Oryctolagus cuniculus: one gene and its partners. The protein of the gene in region 1 purifies or fractionates together with the protein of each later gene. This does not show direct contact. Links are inferred from orthologs where the notes say so. Each region holds a gene or a part of one and is shown on either strand. Other genes may lie near its edges. The genes, in order: HDAC1, SMAD2, SATB1, SP3, RNF157, BRMS1L and KDM5B.

Region 1 (3,807 bases):
CTGAGCGGGCTCACTGATGAAGAGCTTTCCCAGACCAAGCCGGGCCGCAAGGGCTGCAGGGAGTCCCTACACTTCCTCAAGCGTAGACATCAGTGTAAGGCAGCAAGAAACATGAAAAGCCAAGGAAGCCTACCACTGTTACATCCCGGGAGCTAACTCCAAAGAGACGGAGATCTAAAACAACGCGACTGCAAGCTCTCATTTCCCAACCGGCATTAGCAGGGCTGAGTCCCCTACACCAAGTTGCTGTTTGTAGCCCGCAGGGTGGATAGAGCCACTTACCGGCTTGAAAATGGCTTCATAGGACTCGTCGTCAATCCCATCTCGGAGCGGGTAGTTAACAGCATAATATTTGCCTTTGCCAGCCCCAATATCCTAATCGAGAAGGACATTAAAGTAAAACTGAAAGATGAAGCTGAGGAAGGCGTTCAAGGATGGGGGCTGGAAGGCTAAGGGAAGAGGCAGCGGTTCTGGGAGAGGCGGGCCAGGACAAAGCAGGGGCACTGAGTTAGTGCTGTTCTCACTGGCAAGTCCACATCCCGTCACTGAGCCTGCACGCAGGCCGAGAGCTGGTTATGGGGCCTGAGACTGCACACCCTACCCCACAGCACAAGACTTCTACCTTGGCATTGGGGTAGAGCTGGCTGGCAGCCAGGTCACAGAAATAACACCCACTCGCATCAACCTTTGTCTCCAGGGAGCTTTGCTGCTCATTCTTCAACCCCCTTTCTTTCCTCTCCAGGGAGATGTGGCAGGAAGCACAGAGGGAAGCTTCCAACTCACTTCCAAATAGCAAGTGCTCACTTATTCTAATGCTTGCCATGGCCAACAACTGCATTAGTGCCGCCTTTTCACCTCAGGGCAAAGGCAGCGCAAAGCGGCTCAGTTTGCTGTACTCATGCTAACAGAAGCAGGTAGTCTGATGAAGGAGCTTCCAAGGATTCTTATCCTGAGTTTCATGGATGGGCTCCATGATGACTGTTCTACAGCAGACACCACGTTTCATGCACTTTTCTAGGAAGAGTTCATAGCTTTCAGTCAGAGGGCCAAAGGGGAAAGTAACCTAAAAAGGCTCAGAAGCCTTGAGATGATCCACAAGAGTCCCAGTTCCTAGCACAAAACTCAAGCCTTGTGGGGCACAGGACCAGCACATAATGAAACCCAGCTGCGTCCATGAGGGAAGCCCAGTAATGGTAGGAGACCCTTTATGTCCCACTTTTCCTCTCCTCCAGAATTAGGGAGAGAGACCATGGGAGGCACTCCCGATGGGGGAAAGGTGTTCTGAATGGCAGAAGAGGCAGGAAGTGGTTTTTAGTGGCACAGGATAGGAAAGTTAGAGCTGGCAGCTGAGGGTGAGCTGGTTGGCCCCTAAAAAGAGTTCTCACCCGTAGGTCCCCAGTTCCTGGGAAGTACTCTCCATACTTATGAAAGGACACGGTCATGACCCGGTCTGTGGTATAGAAGGCCTCTTCCACGCCATCGCCGTGGTGAATATCAATGTCAATATACAGCACCCTCTGGTGATACCTAGGATCAGAAGGGGGTCAGGGGTCTGGGGGCTCTTTGGAGATGGGACGCGCCAAGGGCGCCAGGTCCCAGCTTACCGGGCTGGCTGCCTCCCTCAGGTATCTCTAAGCACCAGAGACGTGGAAACTGGCTGAAGGAAGGTGGAAGAGCGGCCGGGTGTCTCCAGAGGCCTGACCAAGCCGACCAAGTCCGTTCTTCCTACTCTATAGCCAGGGTCAACTCCAGCCACACAAGGACACTCTGAGGCAGGATCTGAGCAGCGCCTGCCCTGATCTTGCCGTGGGCTCAGATCAAACCAAGACCCCGTCAAGGAGATGATGGCCAGAGCCACCACACACATTCCAGCCAGCATACCGCTAGGAAAAGCAAACTAGGGGGCCAATCCCCGGGGAGGGAAGTGGGAACCTGGCCTAAGGTGCTCCTCCAAGAGACAAGGCCAGGCAGGCATACTTTAGCAGTTCCAGGATGGCCAAGACGATATCATTGACGTAACAGAAGCCAGATGCCTCGGACTTCTTTGCATGGTGCAGGCCCCCAGCCCAATTCACAGCGATGTCCGTCTGCTGCTTATTAAGTTTCACAGCACTTGCTGGGCGTGGGGAGAGAGGAACATAAGCCTGTTACTAAGTCACTCTCCCCTCCCCCCAAGAAGCCCAGGGAACCTAGGGAGAGGTAGGACCTGCCTATTCAATAAGCCAGGCCCCTCCCTCTCACCTATTCCAATAGAGAATAAACATGATACCAGCTGCTCTTAAAAAACTATTTTCCACAGACAAAAAATATTTTTTACCAAAAAGAAAAAATAAAACAAAACTATTTTCCAAACTGAGGATGGTAACCCACCTTAAAATTGACTTAGTGGGTCATGGCTGGCATGTGTATTTTTAAGTGAAACAGATTAGAATAAAAATATCAGAGTAACAGTAAAGGTAACTGCCCTTTTACAAAACGTTGGCTTTAGGATGAGAGAGTAAAAGTGTGTGTTTGTGTGTGTGTGTATGTTCACGTGCATGTGTGTGCCCACACATGGTATCCTGGATTACCTGTGTAAATTTATTTCTTATTACGGTTCATGGTCAAAAAATTTTGAAATGATACCAAAGATAGGGCTGACTCAAAGTACAAATGAGTACAAAACATGAGAAATATACACCCATGCATGCAAGTGCATTTTTGGCACTGTTAACTTTCAAAGAAATAAAAGCATGGAACAATCTAAATGGTCCAGTAAAAGGAGATAGATTATATCAACTACAGTAGGGCCATAACATGGAATAATCTATGGCCACTAGAAAACAGGCTGTGGAAGATTTCTACAGATAGAAAAATCCTAGGTTAAAAAAAAAATGCAGGCACAAAACTATTATTCATATACACACACACATACACCTCAAAAGTTCATGGGAATGGAAGTAAAAGACAAATTTATTTTGGTCCAAAAAGAATTTTTAAATCTATCCATATACCATGAGTCTTCAAAATGTTCAAGGAAAACACATATTACAAAAACCTATGCATACATTTCAAATTGTTTTCCACCAAAATAAACTTATATTTTAACTTCATTTTTCCACAAACTTCTTGAAGTACCCTCATATACATATTTTATGTCCAGATATATAAACATGAATAAAGAAAAGGCAAATAAACACCCAAGTAGTAACAAGGTCATCCATGGACAGTGTGACTGTGTGTGTGTCCCAAGCACTTCTTTTTTTCCAAGATGATACTGGTAGGGGGATACAATAATGATGATAGGAAAATAAATATTTGTTAAGAAAGGGTTTCAAGTAGTCCTAGCGGGAACCCAGAAGTTATAGGTGGAAGTGGGAGCTAAGCCTAGGCAGGGAATATTTCTGACCTCTGAAGGTAATTGCCACACTCCTTCCTAAGACACACAAGATGGCACTTCCATTTTTATAGCACTTTGGCAGTTCACAAATTGCTTTTATGTACAGCATCTTGACAACCCCAGAGGTCTGCAGGGAATTCCTATATATGAGATTTGCTAGTGGGAGAGGACAGCCAAGGACATCTGTCAGGACCATGCTGGACAATAAGCCTGGGCTGGGACTCAACCAGAAATACATTCTAGAGATCTAAGGACTATTTTACATGGTCACAGGTCAGCCCTACCACTATGGTGGCCTAAAAGGCAGACCTCGGGAGGACAGACCAGCACAACCCTTGGGAGGGGATATAGATTCCTTACCTACAGAGCCACCAGTAGACAACTGACAAAATTCAAACAGGCCATCAAATACTGGACAGTCCTCACCA
Region 2 (3,807 bases), on another chromosome or scaffold:
CAGCTTAGGCTCACCTCTTACTCTGCATCTGTGCCTGGGGGTACCTTTAAAGCTTTGGGTCATCCTCTTTTAGATAACTTCCCCTAAATGTGTAGTGAATGAGGACCAGAAACAAAATGTATCTCATGTTTGTAATTATGATTATTTAACATTTTGTGAAAACTGTCTTTTAAATATAGTTGCATAGAATTGAGCCAAGTAGTCTATCGGTGTTTGTTTTTTCCTCTTTTTCCGTTGTGTGTGTTTGTTCATCTTCCTAGTTTGTGTATTTCTCCCCCTCCCTCACCTCACCTTATTTTCTTGATTAGATTTAACCTATATAAGGAGAGATCAATTTTATAGGAAAATAAAATTCTCAACAAATCACTTGGATAGAAGAAACAGAATGTCTTGGAGTAAATGCTAGGAAATTATTGACTGATTATGCTGGTACTATACTCTTTAAACCGTTCCAGAGCATAAAGACATTAAGCTTCCAGATTGTTCGGACCTTGTTCACAGAGTCTTACACACAGTACTCATGTAAATCTGCGGACTAGTGTTGCTTGATACTAGCCATGAACAAAAATCTTAAGTAATGTTTTTTTCTTCTTAGTCTTAAGGCCAGTATCATGCTTACTGAGAAAATACTTGAAATGTTGTCTTTCAGCCAGAAGGAACCATCACCACCACTTTTATCAACATGTGACAAACCCCAAAATGATTCACAAATTAAGTCATGTAACATTTGTTTTTAATGAATTGAGTTGCAAAACTGATGACCAAATACAAGCATCCATCCGTGAAAGGACTAATATCCTTAATCCTAAAAGAGCCTTTACAAGTCAGTAAGGACAGTGTGATCAACAGCACAATACAGAAATGAGCAGAACAGACTCATCACAGAAGGAAGCAAAATGTCATTTTTAAGAGAAATGCAAATTAAGACACAACACCTCTTACCAAGGGCATCCCTCTCCATTTGTGTTGTTACTGAGTGGTAATTCTGCCAGATATCTATCAGAATTACAAAATGCACAAATCTGATCTCACAGTTTCCCTGATAAGACTGTCCTTCAGTGTGATTGGAAGTATGCAAAATGTGCAAGATGAATTGTTCCCATCTTGGGTTTTGAAGCAGTAGATTGAAATAGCCTGACTGACCATCAATATGGGTTCATAGTATGATGCCACACAGCTGGCTGATAGGTGTAGATGGTGAATAGGAAACACAGCAACATGAGCGATCTCTGATAGAGGCACATTACAAGTATGTGTGCTTACGGTGTTTCTGGAGCATACATAAGCACTTCCAACGTTAGATGGCTTTGGAAAGAGGAGCTGGGTGGCTAGAAGCCAGACTGTTTATAATCTTTTGTACCTTTTATGTATAGGAGCTCTCCAAATTAAAGCAGCAGTATGTTTTGAATTCTTGGCATTTAAGTTGTGTATTATTGGTGATAATTACAACCAGTATAACCAGTTGTATTAAGTAATATAGAAGTTCTAGAAATACTTGAGCATTAAAGAATTGAATCCTTTTGTTTTAGGCTCTCCAGCAGAACTGTCTCCTACTACTCTTTCCCCTGTTAATCACAGCTTGGGTAAGTTGCAAATAGCTTTTCCCCTGCCATTCATACACTGTATCACCTGCATAAAACTATTTTCTAAGCAAGAAAGGAGTACCAAGGAATAATCAGGTAATCATGCAAATGGTTTAAATTAGTGCTTTTAATTTTTTAAAAATGAATCTATTTGAGAGACAGAGAAAGAAAGCTGCAGTTGGCTGTTTGACTATCTTAATGCTTATAATGGCTGGAGCTTGGCCAAATCAAAATTGAGATCTAGGAACTGAAGCCAAGTCTCCCACATGGTGGCAGGGACCCAGTTACCTAAGCCATCATTGCTGTCTCACAGGGTCCCCATTAATAGGAAGCCAGAGCAGGAACCCCAGCTGTAATTATACCCAGACACTGTGATGTGGGACATGGCCATCTTAACCAACGGCTTAACTGCTAGGCCACACACCTGTCCCTACATTAGTGCTTTTTTAAAATAGAGATTACTGGGGGCCAGTGTTGTGGCATGGCGGATCAAGCTGCCATCTGCTATGTTGGCATCCCATATGCGTGCTGGTTCATGTCCCAGCTGCTCTGCTTCCAGTCCAGTTACCTTCTGATGGCCTGGGAAAAGCCAATGGAAGATGGCCCAAGTGTTTGGGCTCTTGCACCCCTGTGGGAGACTTGGATGAAGCTCCTGGCTTCTGCATGGTTCAAACCTGCCTGGTACAACCACTTGGGGAATGAACCAGCAGGTGGTATACCTCGCTCTAACTCTGACTTACAAATAAATTAATAAATATTTTAAAAGACAAAATAGATATTATTGTGTCTCAGTATCACTAAAGTCTCTATTGGTACATATGAATGTAATAAATGATCTTTATATTCATTGAAATTATACTTTATTCATCAAAAATTTTATAGCCTATTATATGTATCTATGGGTTTGTTTTACAGTATATCTTATCAGTTACTACTATAAGAGGTATATATAAATATATGTATATACATATAAAATATGTATGTGTTTTAGAGCTGTATACACATATATGTGTGTATATACTTATGCGTTCCTGTGATTTATTTTACGTGCTCTTTTATATTTATAGTTTCCCTTCAGTTTCTAGCCATTCAAAGTTCTTCAAAGTTGTCAGGGTTTTTTTTCTTCCATAATATTATTATTTATGATACACTTAGTCAAGAGTGCCAAGGTTCAGCACATGTGCTCCCACTTTTCTGATGAAATGAGTACTCTTGAGCCCTTGTTCTATTGATACTTGCATACTCTTTGTGTTTTAGTACTTTTTGGTTCTAATTTGGTAACTCACTGAGAGTCTCATGTTAAAATAGAGAACTGTCAAAAAATATCTCACGTTTTTTGTCTTCCTTTAAGACAATGTTTTTTCTTGTGACTTCCAACTCATTAATCTTTGCTCCAGCTTTATTCTAGTAGATTTACCTTTATTATGCTTTTTAGAAATGCGCTAAGTACAACAAGTTGCAGAGTTGGGCTCTGGTAGTTTTGTATTTGAGTAAGAACTAAGCTGAAACTACTGGTAAAACGAATAATCCAACATAATGTGACGTTGTGAGATGAGGGAGATTTGAAAATTGGAAAATCTGGTAGGAGCTGTGGAAACGGATACACATGTTACTTCGGTCTCTTAGGTGTTGCCAGTGTGTGCTGGCACAGGGCATGTGAGATGATGAGATTCCATCTCTTTATGACTTGAATTGTTCACATACTTTTTTTTATGCTTCATTTCTCCTAGATTTGCAGCCAGTTACTTATTCAGAACCGGCCTTTTGGTGTTCAATAGCATATTATGAATTGAACCAGAGGGTTGGAGAGACCTTCCATGCCTCACAGCCTTCCCTCACAGTAGATGGCTTTACAGATCCATCAAACTCAGAGAGGTTCTGCTTAGGGTTACTGTCCAATGTGAACCGAAACGCCACAGTAGAAATGACAAGAAGACATATAGGTATGTTTTATGTTCCTTGTGCAAAGAACTTACGTATAAGAACCCAGTCCTCTGGCAGTTCAGCTGCTGTCATGGTTAAGTACACAGGCTTTCTTTGATTCTTCAATCTGCAAACTCTTGCCTTCAAATTATTATTTGGCACCCTTGACACTGAAAAGTTCTTCAGTAATGTGTGTTACAATAACATAAGTTTGTTAAGTTTTTGCCATCATAAAATGAGTGTGTTCAGATAGTAGGGTTAATTGTTATAAATCATGAGGTCCTCTTCCTCAGTTTGTTTA
Region 3 (4,574 bases), on another chromosome or scaffold:
GCGACACGCACAAAAGACCTGTTAGCTGCCTTACAGCTGGGGGCAGGAATGGCAGGGCAAGGAGGGAAAAGTTGATGGAGTTCCAGTTTATCCTTAGCCTGGGGACTGGAGCCTCCAGGCACCCGCACCCTGGTGGAGCAGAGGTCTGTGGAGTTTCCGCCCCGCTCTCGAAAGGTTCCTTCTCCTCTCCTCTCCTTAGCCCCCTGTCCAGGAAATCCTCATCTCTTCCTCCCTCTTTGCCCCCAGCTTTTGGGGGGACTCGAACCTCAGCTTAGGCGTTCTCATTCCAGTGGGCTCAAAAGTGCAGCCGCTGACATAAGGAGGAATATTGAAACAAATGGGCTGGGGCACACCGCTGGGGTCGGCAAGCGAACCCCTCTGTTCTACCACCAAGCGCCGCTCAGTTGGGGTGCAGCCCTCCAAGATGGGGGTGGGGGTGCTGAGTGGGACGGGGGTGGGATGAAGAGAGACGGACGGGCCAGGCTGAGAGGGAAAGCGACCCTCTAGGAAAGATCTCGACCGAACACTGACGGGAAAAAAAAAAAATTGGCCCACATGCCCCTAGTGGGGAGCGATGCACCCCACGCAGGCTGGGAGGGGGGCGCATCGGGGCCTCGCACCTGACTTCCTCCTCCACCGGCACCCACACCGCTGACACCCCCTCTCAGTACCCTCCCCAAAAGCCCAGCCAAACAACGAACAACAAGAGGAAGCCGCAGGCGGCAGAGGAGGGGTGCGCGTGGTGGGGCCCGGAGAGGTGAGGGGGCAGGGGTGGCGGGCGTCGGGAATCGTGCCGCGCACCCCCGAGCGCCCACACTTACCCCTAGCGGCCCAGGGTCCGTTCTTCGCCGCTAACCCCGGCGCGTGCCCCTCGCCCACCCCGGGCCCTCCAGCCCCCGCCCCCACCCCGGCCGGCGCGCTGGGAGGGGGCCCGGGAGCGGCGCGCGCGGCGGCGGCAGCGGCGGCGGCGGCTCGGGCTCGGCTCAGCTCGGGCTCCCGTGCGCCCAGGGCTGCCAGCGGCCGCGGAGGCTCCCGCCGCCAGGGGGAGAAACCGGGGCGGGTGCTGGGGAGGCGGGCCGGGCCCCGGCCGGCCGCCCCGCCGGGCCGCCCGCGCCGCGCCAGCTCCGAAGCGGCGACGCGGGGTCCGCCGAGCCCCCGGGCGCAGCGAGCCGGCCGAGGCGCGGCGGCTGGATGCGCGCCCGGGTGGCTGTGGCCTCCCGCGGGGGCGCCCGGCCGCGGCGCTGCGCCTGCAGACTGCGGGCGCGGCGACCGCCCAGCCGAGCGCGGCTCCCGCCGGCCCCTTCCCCCGCCCGCCCCCGCCGCCCCCTCCCCCTCCCCCTCCCCCGTTAACATCTCCTCCCTCCCCCCCCTGCTCTTCCTTCCCTCGGCCCCGCGCGCTCGCTCGCTCCTCGCTCCTCGTCTCGCTCTACCCTTTAAACGCCCACTTCGGAGGGGGAAAAGAAGGCAACTTGAAGTCAAGTTGCGATTAACTTCCGCGGCAGCCGCAGCTCGGCGGCGGCGGCGGCTGGGGAGGCAGAGCCGCCGCCTCGGAGTCGGACGCGGGCGCGCCCGCCCGGAGCCGTGCCTGCTCTCGGCCGCACTCGACGCCACCGCCGCCCCCAGCACCCATGCCTGAGTGAGTTCTGTTCCTTTGCCTCTTTTCCCCGCTGCTCCTGCTCTTTCACGGCCGTGCCTGCCTCTTTTTCCGGGATCGACCCAAACTTCTCTGCAACACCCACCCCCGCGCCCCGCGCCCCGTGCCCCGCGGCTCGGCTCAGCGCTCGCGGGCGGCCGCCGGGGCCCGGGGGCTCGCGAGCCCCCGGAGGGGTGCGCCTTCCCGGGAGGGAGAGCGGCGGGCTGGGCACTGGCCGCCGCCGCCGTTCGCCCTCTCCCGAGGTGTGGACACGCGCACACACCTGCCCGGCAAACTCCCTTCAGGTCATCGGTCCAGCCCCTGCCAGAAGAGAAACCGGGCACGGAGGAGACCAGAGGACGCGGACGGGGAAAGGGGCAGGCTCTCCGCGCGCCCCGGACTGGGCGGGCTGGGGAGAGGAAATGTGCCCCCGCCGGCCCGCCGGCCCGTGCAGCATCCCTGGCCGGTCCATCCCCGCCTCCTCTGCGCCCGCTGGCGCGGCTGGCCGCGAGCGGCGGAGGCGAGGGGCCTGGGAAGTTTGTGGCAACTTCTCCATCCTGGGAGCCGCTCGGGCGCCTGGGCGCTCGCGTCGGGGCCGGGAGTTGGAAAGCTGCAGCACTCCGCGCCTCGAGCCCTCGCGGGCTTGGCTGCGGCGAGGCCGGTCCCGGAGGGGCTGCGGCGTGGATGCAGGTTAGGAGGCAGGGCGCGTGCTGCCCTCGGAGCGGGCATCGGGACGTCACAGGTGCAGCCACGAGGTCCCCTCCTGCGGTCAGGACCTGAGCGCGGCGGCCTCCTCCAGGTGCTCTCCCCTGCCGAGACTCCGGGGCTTGGCAAACCACGAGGAGAGGGAAGAAGCAGGCAGGTGGCCAGCCCGGGGAGGGGCGCGTGGCTGCGGGGAGGGGGGGAGGGAGGCGGGGAGCTGGGCGCGGGAGGGGGGACGCTGAGCAGGACCCTCCCGAGGTGACCCTAGAAGACGGAGAGGGCCGAAGTGCGTGGCACTCGGGTTGGAGGTTCTGGCTCCGGCCTCCACCGGGGCGTCGCACATCTCCCTTCCGAGCGTCAGCCACGGGGTCCTGTCGCAGAGTGCTCCGGTTGGCCACTTTGACCCCTGCGCCCGTCCTCGGAGAACTTTCTCCAAGACAGCCCGGGGTTTCCTGGCAAATGCTCTAAGACTGGAACTCCACGTAGTGGTTTAAAAAAACAAAAGCAGGGACGACAGAAAGATCTGATGCTGGCAGGGAGGGAACCTTTCTTTCCGGACTGACTGGGCTTCCACGCCTGCATCCTTGGAGGCCCGGGACCTGAGGTTCCCCAGAGGACAGAGGAGGGGGGTGAGAGTAAGTCAAGAGCGGGTTTTGTCCTTAGCAGCCCCTGATATCTGCAGTGTTTGTGCTGCGGACAGAGTAACTCGTCCCGTTCAAACTTAACTGACGTCGACACCCTATCTAAGGTGGATTTTTCCGAGATGTCAGGAATGTGAGGTTTATTCTATATTCAAATGTAGCTGCTAGATAAATAAATAAATAGGCCCCGCACTTTAACTCTGGAGAAAGCCAAGGTTGCAAGTATTTGCTTTGAAAACCTGCAGTCCCCTACGTGGTATTAGTGTGATGGTTTAGCAGCCGTCCTTTATTTCTATTGCGTATTATTTTAGTGGAACAGTAGTACATTCATATACTGGCTGCTCCAGTCTGCTGGCAAACATTAGCATTCAAGCTTACATTTTTGACAAATGTGCAGACAGGAATAGCATGAATAGGCATCTTAAATATTAACAACCTAAGCATCTGTTGTGAAACAAATTTAATATATTTACTCTGTTTTTCTCACATTGTTAGGAAAGGTTATAATAAGTGCATAATTTCAACTTTAGTTAGCAGAAGTAACTGGCTGTATCTTTCACTACCTCACCAAGTGTTTAACACAATCACCAGACGTAAATACTTTAATTAACTTGGTTAAGCTCATTATTAAATACACTTTAGACAATGTGCATGTCATGTAAAATGTAACTGTAGCAAAATATGTATCCTACTTGTGCACATTTTAAATAGCTATGCACTTTATAAATATACCAAATGTTTATTCTTCATCACCATTTGACACTTATTACTTCATATTTTTTCTAATGGAAACAGTATTTTAAATGTAGAGTTGTTCAGTCATATGTAGTACATAATATGTAAGCAGTAGCTATAAAATCCAAAGCATTGTTAAATTTGAATATAGCTACATGTAACAGGATAATACAAGAGAAGTAAAATCAATACTCAATTTTGTATTCCCTTCTGAAGAATAATAAATACAGATGATGAATAAAAAAAAGAATAGGGGCTTCCCTCCTAAAGTGCAAACTCCTTAAAATGTGTGTGCTGTGGGGGTGGGAGAGGGAAGAAATAGATAAGACTTAAAGAACTTCCAGAAGTCTGAATAGTTATTTTCAGAATCAATGCATTCCTCACTTTCCCACAAGTTGAAATATGTAATAAATAATAGTTCTTTGTATGTAAAAGTATTCAAAAGGAATGCCTTTTGTTCAGTTGTTGTAATAAATTAATATATTCTTTGGTTGATAATCTAGAAAACCAGTTCTTTTGTCTCCTAGCATCTTAAACAAGAACAGCAACAAAATGATTATTTGGTTTATTGCTGCAAAGAAGTCTGTTGCCAGCCATATGAACCTGTGGTTGACTATGATAGGATATGCTGAGTGATGGTTAGGAACTCCAGTACATTAAATTAGCAAAGATTGAGATATCTAGAGGAGAATTTCAGCTCTTTTCTTTTCTTTTCTTTTTTTTTAATGTAACAGGTTGTGGATTGTAAATTAGGCCTAAAAGGTCAGGTGACAGGCACCTGTTCCTCATTATTGTAAAAATCTTTTGGTTACAAACACTATTAAGCTAAACACAACATGGATATACAGCAGGGACTCTCTAAA
Region 4 (4,266 bases), on another chromosome or scaffold:
TGGAGTCAGAGTTACAATAAAAGTATTATGGACAGTCTCCCTGCCTTTAACCTTTTTCTTGGCAACTATACCTAAAGGTAATAGGCAGAGATGTCTCTTAGTTGGCAAAACACACACATAAAACCTGAGCATTTTCGCCCAGGATGACAGCAAGATATCAACGATGCCAAAGATGGAAGGAATGTTAGCCTAATCCAGTAAGTGAAACAAGATTTTAAAAACTAAAGCATGAAATGTTCCAAGAAAAAAAAAAAAAAAACCAAGAAACTTCACTGAGATTCACTATTTAAAAAATGTTGGCAACGGCCGGCAGGACCTTTCAGACTTGGTACCGAGAGGATTAAAAAGCAGGGAATGATATATGTATGTGTAGTGCAATGAGTGGCTAATTTTTTTTTTCTTTTTAAACAAGGATTCTTGCCTCATTGAACACATACACACGCCACATCTAAGTTCCTTTTCTGGTGCCACTGGCCAGCATGAAAGCTCTCCACTTGATTTTTCTCTCGCTCTAAACGGCTGCCTCCAGGGCAAGGGAAAAAGGGAGACGGTTGGAGACCTGGGGGGCTGAGAGGGATGGGAACGAGATGGCTCTGGCTGTGAATACGACAGCTCAAAGTGTGTGAGAGAGAAAATCCTCCTCCGGCTTCGGAGGGGGTGTCTCCCCCAATACCAGCTCCCTCCCCCCGGGCTCGTGGGGCGGGTCTGGTTTGCTCAGTAGCAGCAGCGGCCGCAGCAGCAGCCCCGAGGCTCAGCGGCAGCGGCCTCCTGGCAGCGCAGGGAAGCGGCGGCTCCGGGAGCGCGAGGCCCTGGGGAGATCGAGCCGAGGCTGCCGCCGGGATGGAGAAAACATCGAGTGGAGCCGGAGCCACCGGGGACGGATTTCCTCCCCAGCCTGGCTGCCCTACAGCTCGGTCGGGCCTACTCGGAGAGCCTGCGAGGCGGAAGAGGCCTGCGTCTCGGGCCTGGCAGCGGCAACCGGCGAGCGAGGCGGGCACAGCGGGGTAACTGGCGAGCCGTAGCCGCTCTCGGGAAGCTACGCCGCCACAGCCGCTCATTGTCTCTCCTCTTCCACCCGGGGGGCAAACAGGAAGCGCGCCGCCTGGCCGAGCGACGGACGGGCGTCCGGACCAATGAGGACGGCCGACGGGGAGCGTGGTGGCGAATGAACGCGGAGAAGAGGGGCGGGACTTCCGGGCGGGCTGTCACCCTCTTCCCCCCTTTTGGGCTGGAGGCTCCACCTTTTGTGTTTCCCGCACAGTCAATCAAAATAGGAAAAAAAAATCCCCGGACCGCTCCGGCCGTGTCCGCCGCCGCTTCCCGCATCCTCTCCCGCCGCCGCCGCCTTCGCTCCTCACCATGTGTAAGGCGGCGGGGAGCCCCGCCTGAGGTGCCCTAAACACACTATGACCGGTACGTAAAGCCGAGAGAGAGCAACCCCTGCTGCTGCCGCCGCCGCCGCCGCCGCTGACCGCAGCCAGCCCGGGGGCCGCCGCCGGCTCCCGGCCCCGTGGTGTGCCGCCGAGTGTCTGTGAGAGGCAGAAAGCCGCACTCCCCTCCGCCTGCCTGCCCTCCCCGCCAGCCACCGTCCAGCCCTCAAGCCCCCCAGCAGCGCCGTCTCCCCGCCGGGCCCCGGGGCGGGCGGCCCGGGCCGCCGGGAGCGCATCCCCCTGTGTGCGGGCGCGGGCGGCGGGCGGGCGTGTGTGAGTGACTGACGGTGCGAGAGGAGCGAGCGCGAGTGAGAGCGAGCGGCGCGAAGGGAAAGGGGAGGAGAGGAGAGGAGAGGGGGCAGGGGCAGCGCGGGGAGGAGGAGGAGGAGGGAAAGAGGAGGAGGAGGAGGGTTACTGGCAGCGGCGGGCGGGGGCAGCAGCAGGAGGGGAGGAGGGAGCCGCCGCCGCGCCGCCGCCGGGGGGCGGGTGGGGGAGGGGAAGGGGCCTCGGTCGGGGCTCTCGGAGTAATTTCGCCGCGGCCCGCGGGCCCCCTCCCTCTCCTCCACCCGCCTTCCTCCCCACCCCCACCTCCCCCCCCCCCCGCGCTGTGCCTGCAGCTCCCGAAAAGCCCGTGAAACAAGAGGAAATGGCTGCCTTGGACGTGGACAGCGGCGGCGGCGGCAGCGGCGGCGGCCACGGCGAGTATCTGCAGCAGCAGCAGCAGCAGCAGCAGCAGCAGCAGCAGCAGCACGGAAACAGCGCGGTGGCGGCGGCGGCGGCGGCGGCCCAGGTGAGGAGCGGCTGAGCCCGGCCCGGCTCCCCCCTCGCGCCGCTTTCTCCTCCCCTCGCCTCTCCCCTCCCTCCGCGCCTCTCCCCTCCCCTCCCCCCGCCCCGGGAGCTGCCCGCCCGAGGCGCCAACGCTCCGACCCCGCCCGCGCTCCCCCGCCCGCCGCCAGCCCGCCCGCCCGCCGCCTTTTTGTGCGTGTGTGAGTGTGCGAGGGTGCGCGCCCTCCCGGGGTGGGTTCCGGGCGCCAGGTGGAGGCCCGGCGCGCAGCCCGCCCGCCGACGGGGCCCGCGAGCGTGCGACGGGGCGGCCAGCCCGGGGCGAGCGGCGGGAGGAGGCGGCGGCGGCGGCGGCAGCGGCGGCGGTGGTGGTGGTGGCGGCGGCGGCGGCGAGCGCGGGCTGGCGCTGGCCGGGCCGGCCCGGAGGACCGAGCCGCACTTCCTGTGCGAGCGGCGGCCCGGCCCTAACCGCCACCCCCCTCCCCTGTCTCCCTCTCTGAACCCGCCCATCGGGGGTAGGACACTCAGCCGTCACCGCTCGCTCTGCTGGCCGCTACCTGCAGCAAGATAGGGCCGCCATCGCCGGGCGACGACGAGGACGAGGCGGCCGCCGCTGCCGGGGCCCCCGCCGCCGCCGCCGCCGCCGCCGCCGCCGGAGCGGTAAGTCCCGCGCGCGCGGCCCGCCCCCGCCGAGGCCCCGGCGCCCGCCATCCCCGGCCTGCGGGCGCCCGCCCCGAGGCCTGCCCCGCGCCCGCGCGGCCCCGCGCCCCGTCCTGCCCTCCGCATCCCGGTCTGGCCCCGAAGCCGGCCCTGGCTCTCTGCACATTGTCACTGCGGCACCTCGCTCAGAATTCGCCACAAAATGAAGTCTGCGAGGGCGGGGGTGGAGGACTCCAAAATGGATGTTTGAGCAATTCATATCAGCGCTGCAAACTCCTTCGCCGAGCGGTAGTGCATTTTCAAGCACAGCCTATCGGCCATAGATAGTATCGGCCACGGCGGCAGTGCCTCTGGTTCTTGGAATTCTGGAACCTGGAGCTTTTTCTGCTGGAGGTTGCTAGGTCTGACTGACTGAAATCGTAAGAAAGAAAAAGTGAAGTTCGTTCCCCCGAGGTAGCCTTTTGTATGCAGGAATGAGCACTCCTTGAGTGCTTTTTTAGTGACCGCTCAAAATTGTTGGATTTGAGTTTTTGCAGGCTGCTACTTAAATTTCCGGTCATCTTTCCTAGGTGGTGTTGTGTGGAACACTTAGCGACCGCTGAAATTAGACAACTTACTTAGGTGGTTCTTTAGCTTTTGAAATTGAATGAGTGTCAGCTTCAGAAACAAAAGTCAGGAATTGTATTTACATGCGTGCTACTTACAGTTGGATTTGCTTGGCAAAACGGTTATTTTCATTTTATTGTGGTTGCTGTAGGATGTGGTGGTATTCTTTTTGTAGTGTTTTTACAGTGTCTGGGCTGGGGGGAGGAGCTGGCAGTGTTATATTAGGGCTTAATTCACAGTTATCTGTTAACAGATTTTAGACAGTTAAGTTGTGAACTTTACTGTTGCTTTAGTTTAACATGTTCGTGTGTTCACTTACTAAAATAATTGGAGCCCTTTTTTGACATGGATAATAGGAATTGATTTGGTGATGTTTTCAATTGGTAACTGTAGACGGAATTCTAAGTTTGATATTTGCTATAGTCTGCATTAAATACTTAATGTCTGGTCGTTAAAAGTTGACCTAATGTTAAGCTACTGTTAAGCTACATTATTGGTAAATGTCATTTTAGTGCTTCAGATTATACTCTAGGGGACCTGAGTAGCTTTAACTTCTTAATCCTGCTTTGGTAAACAGATTAAAATGTAAAAGCATACATTTGTGAGAAGCACTGTTATTAAACAAACTTACTTGACTGGTTGGTGAGCATGTGTAATGAACTATATACCTCCATTCCCAAACAACCAAAACAAATTGGCTTTTTATTTTAATAAGCCACTGCATCAAGTCAAATTGAAAGGCAGGTTGCTTCTGTTTATCTTTTCTTAATATTCTGATTACAGCAGA
Region 5 (3,807 bases), on another chromosome or scaffold:
CACTGGGCACTGTGCACGGGGCCGCTCAGCCCCACCCCACCCCGGGCCACAGGGAGCGAGCCCCTGACCGGGTCTCTGGAGGCCCTTAGCGTGAGGCCTCTGCGGCAGGGGGGAGGGTATTCGACTGGGCCCATGAAGACGTGGGTCATTGCTCCCGAGCTCAGGCCTTAGCAAGTCACCCAAGGGGCCAAAGGAGAGCCTGGCGTTGCTGACCCCACACGGGGCCACGGTCCCTTCCTGGCCTCACCCCAGGATTCAGGTTTTTCCCTCAGTTCCTTCCAAGGGCCCGCGTCCCGGGAAGTCTGAGTGAGGAGAGCCCAGCGGGGCCCTGCCTCAGGTGGGAATTGGCCGCCGCTGTGTCCCCTGTGCACGGACAGGTCCGTCTCCCAGAGCTCCTCGGTGCTGCACGAAGAGGAGGACGAGCGCTCCTGCAGCGAGTCGGAGACGCCGCTCTCGCAGAGACCCTCGGCCCAGCGGCTGCGAGAGGTGAGTGCACCCTTCCCCTCGCCTGGGCGCTGGCCTCCAGGCGCCGTCCTCCGCCTGCCTGCCTGCCTCTCGGGCTCTGTCCACTCCCATGCCTTCATCCAGCACTTGCCAATAGTGGCAAAGGCCCGGTAGCTGCACGTACCACTTGGTAGGCACGGCCGCCGTGCTGAGCAGGTAGCGGGAGCGCCGCACTCTGCCCACGGCACTTGCACGCTGGCTGGTCGGGTGGGAATAGACACGAAGGACGTCCAGCACAGGAAGTGTCCTGGGGATCTGGGACACAGGAACAGCAATGCAAGACCCTGGGGTGTGCAGGGAGGCCAGCGTGGTCGATGGCGGAGGGCTGGCCCGTTCTACCCTGTGGTCCCCGTGGACTCGACTGGACAGAAGTTTGCTGTCCTCCTGCTCTGGCAGGGCACACACAGACTTTGCTCGGTGGCCCAGGCCTCAGGAGCTCAGCTCTAGCTGGGACAGCACCGTGTGTGGCCCATTGCTACGGCTCAGTATTGGTCAGGTGACCGCATGAGTGAATCATTGGATTTAACTGAGAGACCCCAAAAGTGTGCAGCAGAAGTGCAGCCGGTGACACGAAGTGGGAGGAGTCAGAGCAGACGTTGCCAAGGAGCAGCGCTTGGGCCGAACCTTGAAATGTTTTAGCCGTGAGAGAAGCATGCAGATGGAGAGGATGGCGTGGGCCGGCGCTGCAGGGCGCGCTCACCTGCCAGGTGTGCAGGCTGGGACCCCAGAAAGGGCGAGGGAAGTGCCTGCGCTGGGCCAAGGCGGGGGGGGGGGGGGGGGGGGCAGGGGGCAGAGCCAGCACAGCCATGCAGCCTCCTGGGACGGAGCCGGGGACAGCCGGGGAAGAGGCGCAGGGCCGGGGTGGGGGCAGGGCCCGACTGTTCTGGATGGATTGAGCCGGAACTCACCGGATGCCCACACAGACCTGCCCACAGCCAGAGAGGCCCCTGTGGAAGCTGTTGGTGATGCTGGGGAAACCTGGGGCGTCCCCCCACCGTGTCCCAGCTGCTGGGTGACCTGCGTCACCTGAGCTGCGGTCTTTGTGAGGCCCCAGCAGATGCTGTGCCCCGAGCCGGAGGTGCTGAGTGAGGCTCGCTCCTCCCCGGAGGCAGCCATGCGGGCCCCGGCCGGCCACAGAGACGCCTGGCACGTGGTGCCTGACCACGGGGAACCCTGTCCCTCCCCGTGTCTTGTTGCTGACGTGTGCTGTGTCCCCCGCAGCCCCAGGAATGTGGTGTGACCCCCGAAAGTGAGAACCTCACGTTGTCGTCATCGGGAGCCATCGACCAGTCGTCTTGCACAGGGACGCCGCTCTCTTCCACCATCTCCTCCCCCGAAGGTACAGGAGGGGGCGGGGGCAGCTGCACGTCCTGCCCTGGCACCGCCTCTGGGCGCGCGGCTGTCTGATGAGCAGGCCCCACTGGAGGGGGCGGGCGGGGGGCCTGCTCTCCTCCTGGGAGCTGGGGAGAAGCGTGCTCTTAGTCCCTCTCCTGGGCTGTTGGTCCCTCTCCTGCCCCCGGAAGATTTCCTTTAGCTGTGACAGGGGAAAGCAAATCCCTGGGCCCTGAGGTTGAGTTCCAGATCTCAGGAATCGTTCAGTCTTGTCTGGGGAGGGCGGCTCAGCTCCCTGCACTGCACTGCCGGAGCTGGCGGGGGCTTGGCCTGACACCACCTCCTTCTCCCAAGACCCCGCCAGCAGCAGCCTGGCCCAGTCTGTCATGTCCATGGCGTCCTCCCAGATCAGCACCGACACGGTCTCCTCCATGTCCGGCTCCTACATCGCCCCCGGCACCGAAGAGGAGGGAGAGGCTCTCCCGTCCCCCCGGGCTGCCAGCAGGGCCCAGTCAGAGCAAGCAGAGGTAAGGGAGGACGGCCCCACTCGGCCTGGCTTCCCTGGGCTTTGCATGAGTGTCCAGAGTGGCTCAAGAAGGCATCTGCCGGGGCTGCCCACAGAGCCCCAGAGGGCTCCAGAGGAGTCCCGAGGGGCCGGCCTGGCCTGGGATCAGACCCTCAGGCGTCGGCGGACTTGCTGGGCCCCGCGGTGGCTCTGCACTCCGCGCCTCTGGTAACCGTGGCCTGGCCTTTGGTGCTCTTTTGCAGGGGACGCCAGCAGAGTCTCCGGAGAGCAACTTCGCCGGCCTCCCAGCGGGAGAGCAGGACGCAGAGGTGAGCGGCCGCAGACAGCAGGACGGGGCCGCTGAGGCTGGCTGGGGGTCCAGCAGCGGCAGGGGGCCGGCACTGGAGCTTCCCGGGTCAGTGAAGCGTGTGGGCAGAGCACAGCGAGCCACACTCTGGCCGTGGACTGTCCCCTTAGCAGGGCGCTGGCCCCAGCCTGATCCGTGTGGAGTGAGTTCAAGAGGGAACTTGGCGTGCCAGACTGGACCTTGTGGGTCATCGGTGAACATTTAGACCACAAATGTGCCAAGGGTGTCCCTCCGGCACTGGGCACACCCAGAACTGAGGGGCACGGGTCCCACCTGCTCTCTGCCCCCACCCCTGCCCCGCCGCCTCCAGGAGCCCTGTGCGTGGCAGCAGGATCAGGGTGCAGTGTGGGAAGGACCCGGGCCTTGCTTCCTGACTGCTCATTCCGAGCACACAGAAGGAACCTTGAGGAAGTCCACGGAGGGGCAGGCATTTGGCTCAGCAGTTCAGCTGCCCGCATGCCCAGGTTCAAGCCCCACTCTGCTTCCGCCGGGTACGCTGGGAGGCAACAGTGAAGGCGGCAGCTCTTGCTCTCTGCCGCCCTCCTCAAGGCCCGGGGGGAGATCAGCCTGCCCAGTCCCCGCTGTCACGGCGTCTGGGAGTGACCAGCGGACACAAGATGTCTCCTTCCCTCTCTGTCTCCATCTCCCTGTTGCTCTGCCTTTTGAATAAATAAAATGGTAACCTTTTTTATTTATCTGAAAGTCAGAGTTATACAGAGAGGTGAGGCAGAGAAGAGAGAGAGAGAGAGAGAGAGAGAGAGAGAGAGAAAGTCCTCCATCTGATGGTTCATTGCCCAGTTGGCCACAACGGCCGGGGCTGCGCCGATCTGAAGCCCAGAGCCAGGATCTTCTTCTGGGTCTCCCATGTGGGTACAGGGGCCCAGGGACTTGGGCCATCTTCCATTGCTTTCTCAGGCCACAGCAGAGAGCTGGATGGGAAGTGGAGCAGCCAGGACTCAAACCAGCGCCCATATGGGATGCTGGCGCTGCAGGCTGGGATTTTAACCCACTGTGCCACAGCGCCGGCCCCAAATGGTAACTTTTTTTTAAAAGTTTGTGGAAAATCCGCATTATGAAAATCTACATGGATTTCAAATTT
Region 6 (3,807 bases), on another chromosome or scaffold:
TATCTGAGTCTTATCTTGGTCTTCCACTGTTAATGCTGCTAAAGGAATTGTCCGCATAGTAGGGGAAAAGGAGAGGCTGCTGAAGAATTTGATGTGATTGTGATTGTTAGTTACCTTGACCTGAGCTCACACTTCAGAATGCCAAAAGACACGGAACTCATGACGGGGGACAAAACAGAAGTGTGGCAGGGGTCTCTCTCTGAGCACAGCATGAGAAGACAGCTGTAGAAGATTGTTCCGCTCAGCCCTGGGAGGCTCATGTGGAAGAAGGAGTGCAAACCTTTTCACTGTGGTGGCATCAGACAAACTAGGCACATGGAGAAAAGTTACAGGGATGCAGATTTTTGTCTCAGAAGAAGGAAAACTTAATACATAAATTAGGCCACTGCAGTGTGAAATTTACTTTTTCCAGGGATATTGTGGACAAGTTTTCTTTGTTAGGGAGAAGGCTGACTAGGTTACCTGCAGTTCTTGCATACTTTTCATTTTATCTGTTATAAATTTTATTCCTCTGCTGTTGAGTGGCCATGGTGAGTCACATAAGCTGAGCTCTAATGCCGGTGTTCCCTTGCCGGTTCACTGGGTGACTGTGGACAGCTGCTGAACTTTGCTAAGCTGGTGTCCTTGTCAGCAAGAAGAAGTAGTAAGAATGTCTGCCTTCAAGGTAAAGTTGAGGATTAGGTGAGACGATGCATGTGATATATATTTTACGAAGCACCTGACATGTGCTCATCAATTATCCGTAAGTGCTAGACCGAGTTTTGCTTTAAAAAAGGCAGAGGAAAATTTGTAAGTACTGAATGTAGCTGCTCCTGGAGCGGTACACAGTCCCATGTGTATACACATGGCTGCCAGTGGAGTTGTGTACAGTGTATACTTGAATAGGTGGCCACTGTGAGATGACTGTCATTTTCCCTCCTTTGGTCAGCAGAAATCTAATCTTTAATTTTTACTTCCTTGCCAGAGCTGTGGAATGATGAGCTTCAGTCGAGAAAGAAGAGGAAGGATCCTTTCAGTCCCGACAAGAAGAAGCCCGTGGTGGTTTCAGATATCCTTCTCTGGGTTTTCGGGGGTTTTCTTCCTCCTTGCTGTACATTTCTACAGTGTGCATATTTTGGGAAATTTTATTAGTACACAGTGATTTTGTTTTTAATGAGTAAACCCTTTTTTTATGTAAGATTTATTTAGTTATTTGAAAGAGTTACACAAAGAGAGGTGAGGCAGAGAGAGAGGTCATCCATCCACTGGTTCACTCCCAAAATGGCAGCAATGACTGGAGCTGTACCAGTCTGAAGCCAGGAGCCAGGAGCCAGGAGCTTCCTCCAGGTCTCCCATGCGGGTGCAGGGGCCCAAGGACTTGGGCCATCTTCCACTGCTTTCCCAGGCCATAGCAGAGAGCTGGATTGGAAGTGGAGCAGCCAGAACTTGAACCAGCACCCACATGGGATCTGGCACTGCAGGCGGTGGCTTTACACACTGTGCCACAGCACCAGGCCCACCTTTTTTTTTTTTTTTTTTTTTTTTTAAGAAAAAAAAGTGGAAGATGACTTATAAAATGGATTGAAGGCAGAAGATATAGTTTACATTCAGAATGGTGGGGGAAGAGAAGAAATTTATTCATGATTTCAAGTTTGAAAATTCGTAGGCTTCCTAGCCTAGTAGTTAAGATGTCTGTTGCATATGCTGGAGTGCCTGGGTTTGATATCCAGCTCTGCTGCCGACTCCAGCTTCCTGCCAGTGGGAACCCTGAGAGGCAGCAGGGGGATGGCTCAAGTGGCTGGATTCCTGCCACCCACGTGGGATTTCTGGATTGAGTCTCTGGCCCAGGCCTGGTTGTCACAGATGTTTGGGGGAAGAGAACCAGCAGATGGCAGCTCTCTCTTTTTTTCTCTCAAAAAAAGAAAGAAAGAAAGAGTATCTATATCTCTATGTAGCATGTAGTATACTGCATGACGGTTTAATTCTCATTTGTACTTTTTTTTATTTGAAAGGCAGAGTTTACAAAGAGAGAGGCAGAGACAGAGATCTCCCCATCTGCTGGTTCACTCCCCAAATGGCCACAACAGCCAAAGCTGGGCCAGTCTGAAGCCAGGAGCCAGGAGCTTCTTCTCCCCCATGTGGGTGGTAGGGGCCCAAACACTTGGGACCTCTTCTGCTGTTTTCCCCAGACACATTAGCAGGGAGCTGGATTGGAAGTGGAGCAGCTGGGACTTGTAGTCGTGTCCACACGGGATGCTGGCACTACAGGTGGTACCTTAACCCACTGTGCCACAGTGCCAGCCCCCTGATTGTCTTTAAATTAAACTACTATATGCATCCTTATGGAACCCTCCCTTTGCCTCTGTATCTTAAAAACCTCTGTCTTTTTAAAAAAAAAAAAAACCAAACATTTATTTATTTTTATTTGACAGGCAGAGTTAGACAGAGAGAGAGAGAGAGAGAGAGAGAGTCAGAGAGAAAGGTCTTCCTTTTGTTGGTTCACCCCCAAATGGCTGCCACGGCTGGCGTGCTGCGCCGATCTGAAGCCAGGAGCCAGGTGCTTCCTCGTGGTCTCCCATGCGGGTGCAGGGGCCCAGGCACCTGGGCCTTCCTCCACTGCCTTCCTGGGCCACAGCAGAGAGCTGGACTGGAAGAGGGGCAACTGGGACTAGAACCTGGTGCCCATATGGGATGCCGGTGCCGCAGGCAGAGGATTAACCAAGTGAGCCACGGCGCCAGCCCCAAAAACCTCTGTCTTTTCCCCTCAACCTTAAGTTATCAATGTTCTCATAGAATTGAAGGAATATGATTGTGGCATCAGAAGCACTAGACTATGTATGTCAGTACTTATTTGGATATGTAAAATAATTGGGAGTCAGAATTCAGAATACCAAAGGATTATATTCCTGAACCGTTTTTCAATTCTCTGAAAAATTGAATGTTGGAAATATAATTCAAAGTGTTATATCTTTACTGCTGAATTGACCTTGACTTTTCAACGTCCATATATAGTTTATATGCTACAAGATCTTGATATTCTTGAAGACTGGACAACAATCAGGAAGGTATGATTAAAGAAGAGTGAAGCACAAGTGCATTTTTATAGTCTGCTTTTTAGGAGTATAGATTTTTCACTAATACATCAAAGCATGATAATTGTTAAATATTCTTTGCTTTTGCAACATTTTCTCTAAGATAATTGGTAGTATTACAGATAGCAGCAATCTGTAGTGATACTTCAAGAATTAGGGACATGTCAGCAGTTTTTATAATAATTTATACAAGAATTACAGAAAAACATTTTTTTATTTTGCTCCCAAATAATATCACCATTTTGTGCCTAATCCTTAGCCTGGTCCTGGCTCATGGAAGACACTCAATGTTTGTTGAATGAACAAAAGTAAACATTTATTTATTTATTTTAAAGATATATTTATTTATTTGAAAGGCAGAGTTACTGAGAGAGAGAGAGAGAGAGAAAGAGAGAGAGAGAGAGAGAGAGTCTTCCATACGCTGGTTCATTCCCCAGATGGCTACAATGGCTGGGCTGGGCCAGACTAAAGCCAGAAGCCAGGAGCTTCATTTAGTCTCCCACATGGGTGCAGGGACCATCTTCTGCTGCTGAAAGTGGAGCAGCTGGGACTTGAATTGGAGCCCAAATGGGATGCCGGCATCACAGATGGTGACTTCACTTACTACACCACAGCACTGGCCTCACATTTTTCCATTTGTTATAAACTTCTTAGTTGAGAGAGGATTATTTCGAGTATTGATAACACCTCCAGGAGAAGTTGTTATTCTGTGTATTTCATATGATCTTAGACTTTA
Region 7 (2,827 bases), on another chromosome or scaffold:
GGGGAAAGGCCGTGATTGAAGCACCGGGGAAGGGGGGAGGAGGTGTGAGTGTTTGCTGACAGGTCTTCGTTTGGTTCCCTCGGAGGGGACCTGCCTGTTCCCTGTGTTGTTGTCTTCAGTAAGGCCCAGAGACTCATGGATCTGCTCCACACAGAGAAGACGGCCTGCTCCCAGTGTCCTTGCCCTTCTGGAGTCAGTAAAACCAGGAAGATTAAAGGTTTTGTCTTAAGGGGAGACAGGTGGTGATGTGGCCGATTTTAAGGCACCAAGAGACTGCTTCTAGTTTGGGGAAATCCAGCTGTTCTTCCTTGTTGCCTGCCTTAGCCCAGGCTGCTCTGTGGGAACAGTGGTAACCGGTGTCTTCCTCCCCCAGGTGCCTCAGCCTCCCGGCACTGCGTCCCTTTCCTCGCCCGGTGACTGGGATAACAGGACCTCGTATTCACACTGTCCCTTCTCCACTGGACAGAGTTGTGTCCCTCTCCATGGTTTGTATTTTATTAGGATTATTTTGAGGGCTGGGTAGTAACAGGTCATCTTGTACTAGGTTTTTGTTACAGATGATGAGGTACCAAGAAAAGGCCTTTATCCTGAGGTTGGTGTTGTGGTGCTGCAGCTTAAACTGCCGCTTGCCACACCTGTGTACCACATCAGAGTTCCGCTTCAAGTTCTGGCAGCCCCACTCCCAATTCAGCTGCTTGCTAATGTGCGGGGGGGGGGGGGGGGGGGGGCAGTAGGTGACGGCCAGAGTCCTGGAGTCCCTGCCCCACTCGTGGGACATCCCAAAGGAGTTCCTGGCTCCTGGCTCCTGGCTCCTGGCTTTCGCCTGGTCCAAGCCAGGCTGTTGTAGCCATTTGGGAGTGTGAACCAGCTGATGGAAGACATCTGTGGTCTTCTCTCTCTCTCTTTCACCCTGCCTTGCAAATAAATAAGTACATATTTGAAAGTGCTGGGGGGTGGAGGAGGCTTTATCCTCATGTAGGGTATGAGTGTGCTGCATGGAGAGAGAGATCAGACTGAGAGACTTAGCAGTGCAAGCACACAGGAAGGTTCGTGCCCACTGCTTCCAGGGAGCCGGATCCACCCTTTGCCAGCTGATGATAGAACACCAGGCTGCCAAGTGGGGCTCCTGAGGGAGGCTTCATCACTTTGGAGATAATCTGTGTTTAAAACCTGCTTGTTTCCTGAGCGACTCCCATGAGTTGTGTCTGGCACTTCAGCCGGAGTCCGATTCCTGGACAGGCCGTCCCCGTGTGTGGCCGAGCGCCGTGGGCCACTCGGAGCCCGCGCGCCTGGGCCGCAGCTCGATCCTGTGCTTTGTTGGAAAGGCCACCAGGGCAGAGGCGTGGCCTGGGCTGCAGTGGGCAGTTAGTTAGCGGCAGTGCCTGGCTTGGGTTCCGCCCGGGACAGTGTGGCCGAGGCACAGTAAGTGAGCCTAACGGCCTGGGAACGCAGGTGAGGAGGGGGCGGTCTTTTGCTTTCCGGAGCACACGGGAGGCCCTTTGTTCTCACTGGCTTGGTCTGCTCCTCCACAGGCCTCAGTCCAGAAGTGAACGAACTGTTAATGGAAGCCCAGTTGCTGCAAGTGTCCCTTCCTGAAATTCAGGAACTTTACCAGACCTTACTCGCACAGCCAAGCCCCACGCAGCCGAGCGACCGGAGCTCCCCGGCGCGGCCCGGCAGTGAGAAGGTGGGTGTCGGCGGGCCCCTCTCTTTTCCCTGTCCCAGAAGAGCATCCAGCCTGTGTTCCTCCCGGCCGCCGGGGTGGAAGGTGCTGGAGGTGTCAGTTTGGGCTCCGAGCTGGGTTTGGGTCCTGTTTGAAGCCACCGAGTGACAGGGTGGTGGGTTGGTCTGTACCTCGGGGTGCTTCTCGTGGCTCCCCACGGTGCTAGTGGGACAAGAGGCTGACAAGGCGGTGCAAGCCGAGCAGGCCTTCCGTGCCCAAGAGTCACTTAACAACCACTCTCCACTCCGAGGATGTCCTGTTGGGGTGCCGACTGCTCTACCGAACGCCCTGTGGCAGCGTAGTAAGCTTCCTGCTGCCCGTCCCTCCCGGGGCTGGCACTTGTCAGGCCCCTGAGAACGTGGTGAGGGTGGAAAGCCGCCAGGCGGATCCAAGCCGCATGAGGAAAGGCGATCACTAGCCAGAGCCCCGTGGGCCGCTGTGTGGTGTCATCCAGTGCCTCTGCTGCCATGAGGGTTGGGGGTGTCTCCCCAAGTGGGACCGCGGCCGTGTGGCGCCTCAGCAGCCCGCAGGGTGCAGGACGGCTCAGGCGCTGGTCGGTCACTGTCGGCCTTGGCGGGCACCCGTGCGTCCCCGGTGCCGGCTGGCAGCTGTCTGGGGAGAAGGAAGCGAGGCCGCCTCACCCCGCTTGTCCTGTGGGACTTGGGGTGGGTGCAGGGTCGCGTGTGGTTGACCTTGGCCTGTCTCCCACCCAGAAGGACTGCTGCCGGGGCAAGCGCGACGCAGGCAGCAGTGTGGAGAGGAAGCTCAAGAGACGCCTGGACAGAGACGGCCTCGCCGGCGAGCGGTGGGACCGAGTGAAAAAAACGCGGACACCCAGGAAGAAGAAAATCAAACTGAGCCACCCCAAGGACACGAGTGATCTCAAGTTAGAGAGGGAGCGTGGCTACGAGTCGGCCCGTTCTGCCGAAAGCCACTCGCTGCCCTCGGACGCCTCCTACTCGGAGCAGGAGGACTCCGAGGACGAGGACGCCCTGTGCCCGGCCGCCAGCTGCCTGCAGCCGGAAGGAGACGAGGTCAGTGCGGTGCGCGCCGCGGAGGCCGCGCCTCCCCTTAGCTCCGCCTCCCCGTAAGCTAGACCTCGCC

What was found.
Region 2: the proteins of HDAC1 (region 1) and SMAD2 purify together in Homo sapiens (affinity purification with western blotting; 5 studies listed by BioGRID, with this or other methods). This does not show direct contact. The link is inferred for Oryctolagus cuniculus from reciprocal best matches to the Homo sapiens genes HDAC1 and SMAD2.
Region 3: the proteins of HDAC1 (region 1) and SATB1 purify together in Homo sapiens (affinity purification with western blotting; 3 studies listed by BioGRID, with this or other methods). This does not show direct contact. The link is inferred for Oryctolagus cuniculus from reciprocal best matches to the Homo sapiens genes HDAC1 and SATB1.
Region 4: the proteins of HDAC1 (region 1) and SP3 purify together in Homo sapiens (affinity purification with western blotting; 6 studies listed by BioGRID). This does not show direct contact. The link is inferred for Oryctolagus cuniculus from reciprocal best matches to the Homo sapiens genes HDAC1 and SP3.
Region 5: the proteins of HDAC1 (region 1) and RNF157 purify together in Homo sapiens (affinity purification with western blotting; 3 studies listed by BioGRID, with this or other methods). This does not show direct contact. The link is inferred for Oryctolagus cuniculus from reciprocal best matches to the Homo sapiens genes HDAC1 and RNF157.
Region 6: the proteins of HDAC1 (region 1) and BRMS1L purify together in Homo sapiens (affinity purification with mass spectrometry; 7 studies listed by BioGRID and IntAct, counting the BioPlex papers as one, with this or other methods). This does not show direct contact. The link is inferred for Oryctolagus cuniculus from reciprocal best matches to the Homo sapiens genes HDAC1 and BRMS1L.
Region 7: the proteins of HDAC1 (region 1) and KDM5B purify together in Homo sapiens (affinity purification with western blotting; 3 studies listed by BioGRID). This does not show direct contact. The link is inferred for Oryctolagus cuniculus from reciprocal best matches to the Homo sapiens genes HDAC1 and KDM5B.

What each region holds. Positions count from the first base shown.
Region 1 is NC_091438.1:140,150,566-140,154,372, forward strand, and holds part of HDAC1 (histone deacetylase 1), read right to left. Parts: coding exon 3,740-3,807; intron 2,117-3,739; coding exon 1,978-2,116; intron 1,528-1,977; coding exon 1,386-1,527; intron 376-1,385; coding exon 283-375; intron 1-282. UniProt on the Homo sapiens protein: Histone deacetylase that catalyzes the deacetylation of lysine residues on the N-terminal part of the core histones (H2A, H2B, H3 and H4).
Region 2 is NC_091441.1:29,856,620-29,860,426, forward strand, and holds part of SMAD2 (mothers against decapentaplegic homolog 2), read left to right. Parts: intron 1-1,529; coding exon 1,530-1,583; intron 1,584-3,313; coding exon 3,314-3,526; intron 3,527-3,807. UniProt on the Homo sapiens protein: Receptor-regulated SMAD (R-SMAD) that is an intracellular signal transducer and transcriptional modulator activated by TGF-beta (transforming growth factor) and activin type 1 receptor kinases.
Region 3 is NC_091435.1:154,006,220-154,010,793, reverse strand, and holds the start of SATB1 (DNA-binding protein SATB1), read left to right. Parts: upstream 1-1,497; 5' UTR 1,498-1,636; intron 1,637-2,775; exon of another isoform or gene 2,776-4,574. UniProt on the Homo sapiens protein: Crucial silencing factor contributing to the initiation of X inactivation mediated by Xist RNA that occurs during embryogenesis and in lymphoma.
Region 4 is NC_091434.1:67,238,621-67,242,886, forward strand, and holds the start of SP3 (transcription factor Sp3), read left to right. Parts: upstream 1-1,274; 5' UTR 1,275-1,406; coding exon 1,407-1,413; intron 1,414-2,047; coding exon 2,048-2,220; intron 2,221-2,732; coding exon 2,733-2,873; intron 2,874-4,266. UniProt on the Homo sapiens protein: Transcriptional factor that can act as an activator or repressor depending on isoform and/or post-translational modifications. Binds to GT and GC boxes promoter elements. Competes with SP1 for the GC-box promoters.
Region 5 is NC_091448.1:4,554,745-4,558,551, forward strand, and holds part of RNF157 (E3 ubiquitin ligase RNF157), read left to right. Parts: intron 1-377; coding exon 378-486; intron 487-1,725; coding exon 1,726-1,843; intron 1,844-2,190; coding exon 2,191-2,363; intron 2,364-2,604; coding exon 2,605-2,670; intron 2,671-3,807. UniProt on the Homo sapiens protein: E3 ubiquitin ligase that ubiquitinates APBB1 for its degradation by the proteasome and thus prevents apoptosis and promotes survival of neurons.
Region 6 is NC_091443.1:39,740,666-39,744,472, reverse strand, and holds part of BRMS1L (breast cancer metastasis-suppressor 1-like protein), read left to right. Parts: intron 1-964; coding exon 965-1,048; intron 1,049-2,979; coding exon 2,980-3,044; intron 3,045-3,807. UniProt on the Homo sapiens protein: Involved in the histone deacetylase (HDAC1)-dependent transcriptional repression activity. When overexpressed in lung cancer cell line that lacks p53/TP53 expression, inhibits cell growth.
Region 7 is NC_091444.1:18,501,318-18,504,144, reverse strand, and holds part of KDM5B (lysine-specific demethylase 5B), read left to right. Parts: intron 1-373; coding exon 374-485; intron 486-1,532; coding exon 1,533-1,687; intron 1,688-2,436; coding exon 2,437-2,757; intron 2,758-2,827. UniProt on the Homo sapiens protein: Histone demethylase that demethylates 'Lys-4' of histone H3, thereby playing a central role in histone code. Does not demethylate histone H3 'Lys-9' or H3 'Lys-27'. Demethylates trimethylated, dimethylated and monomethylated H3 'Lys-4'.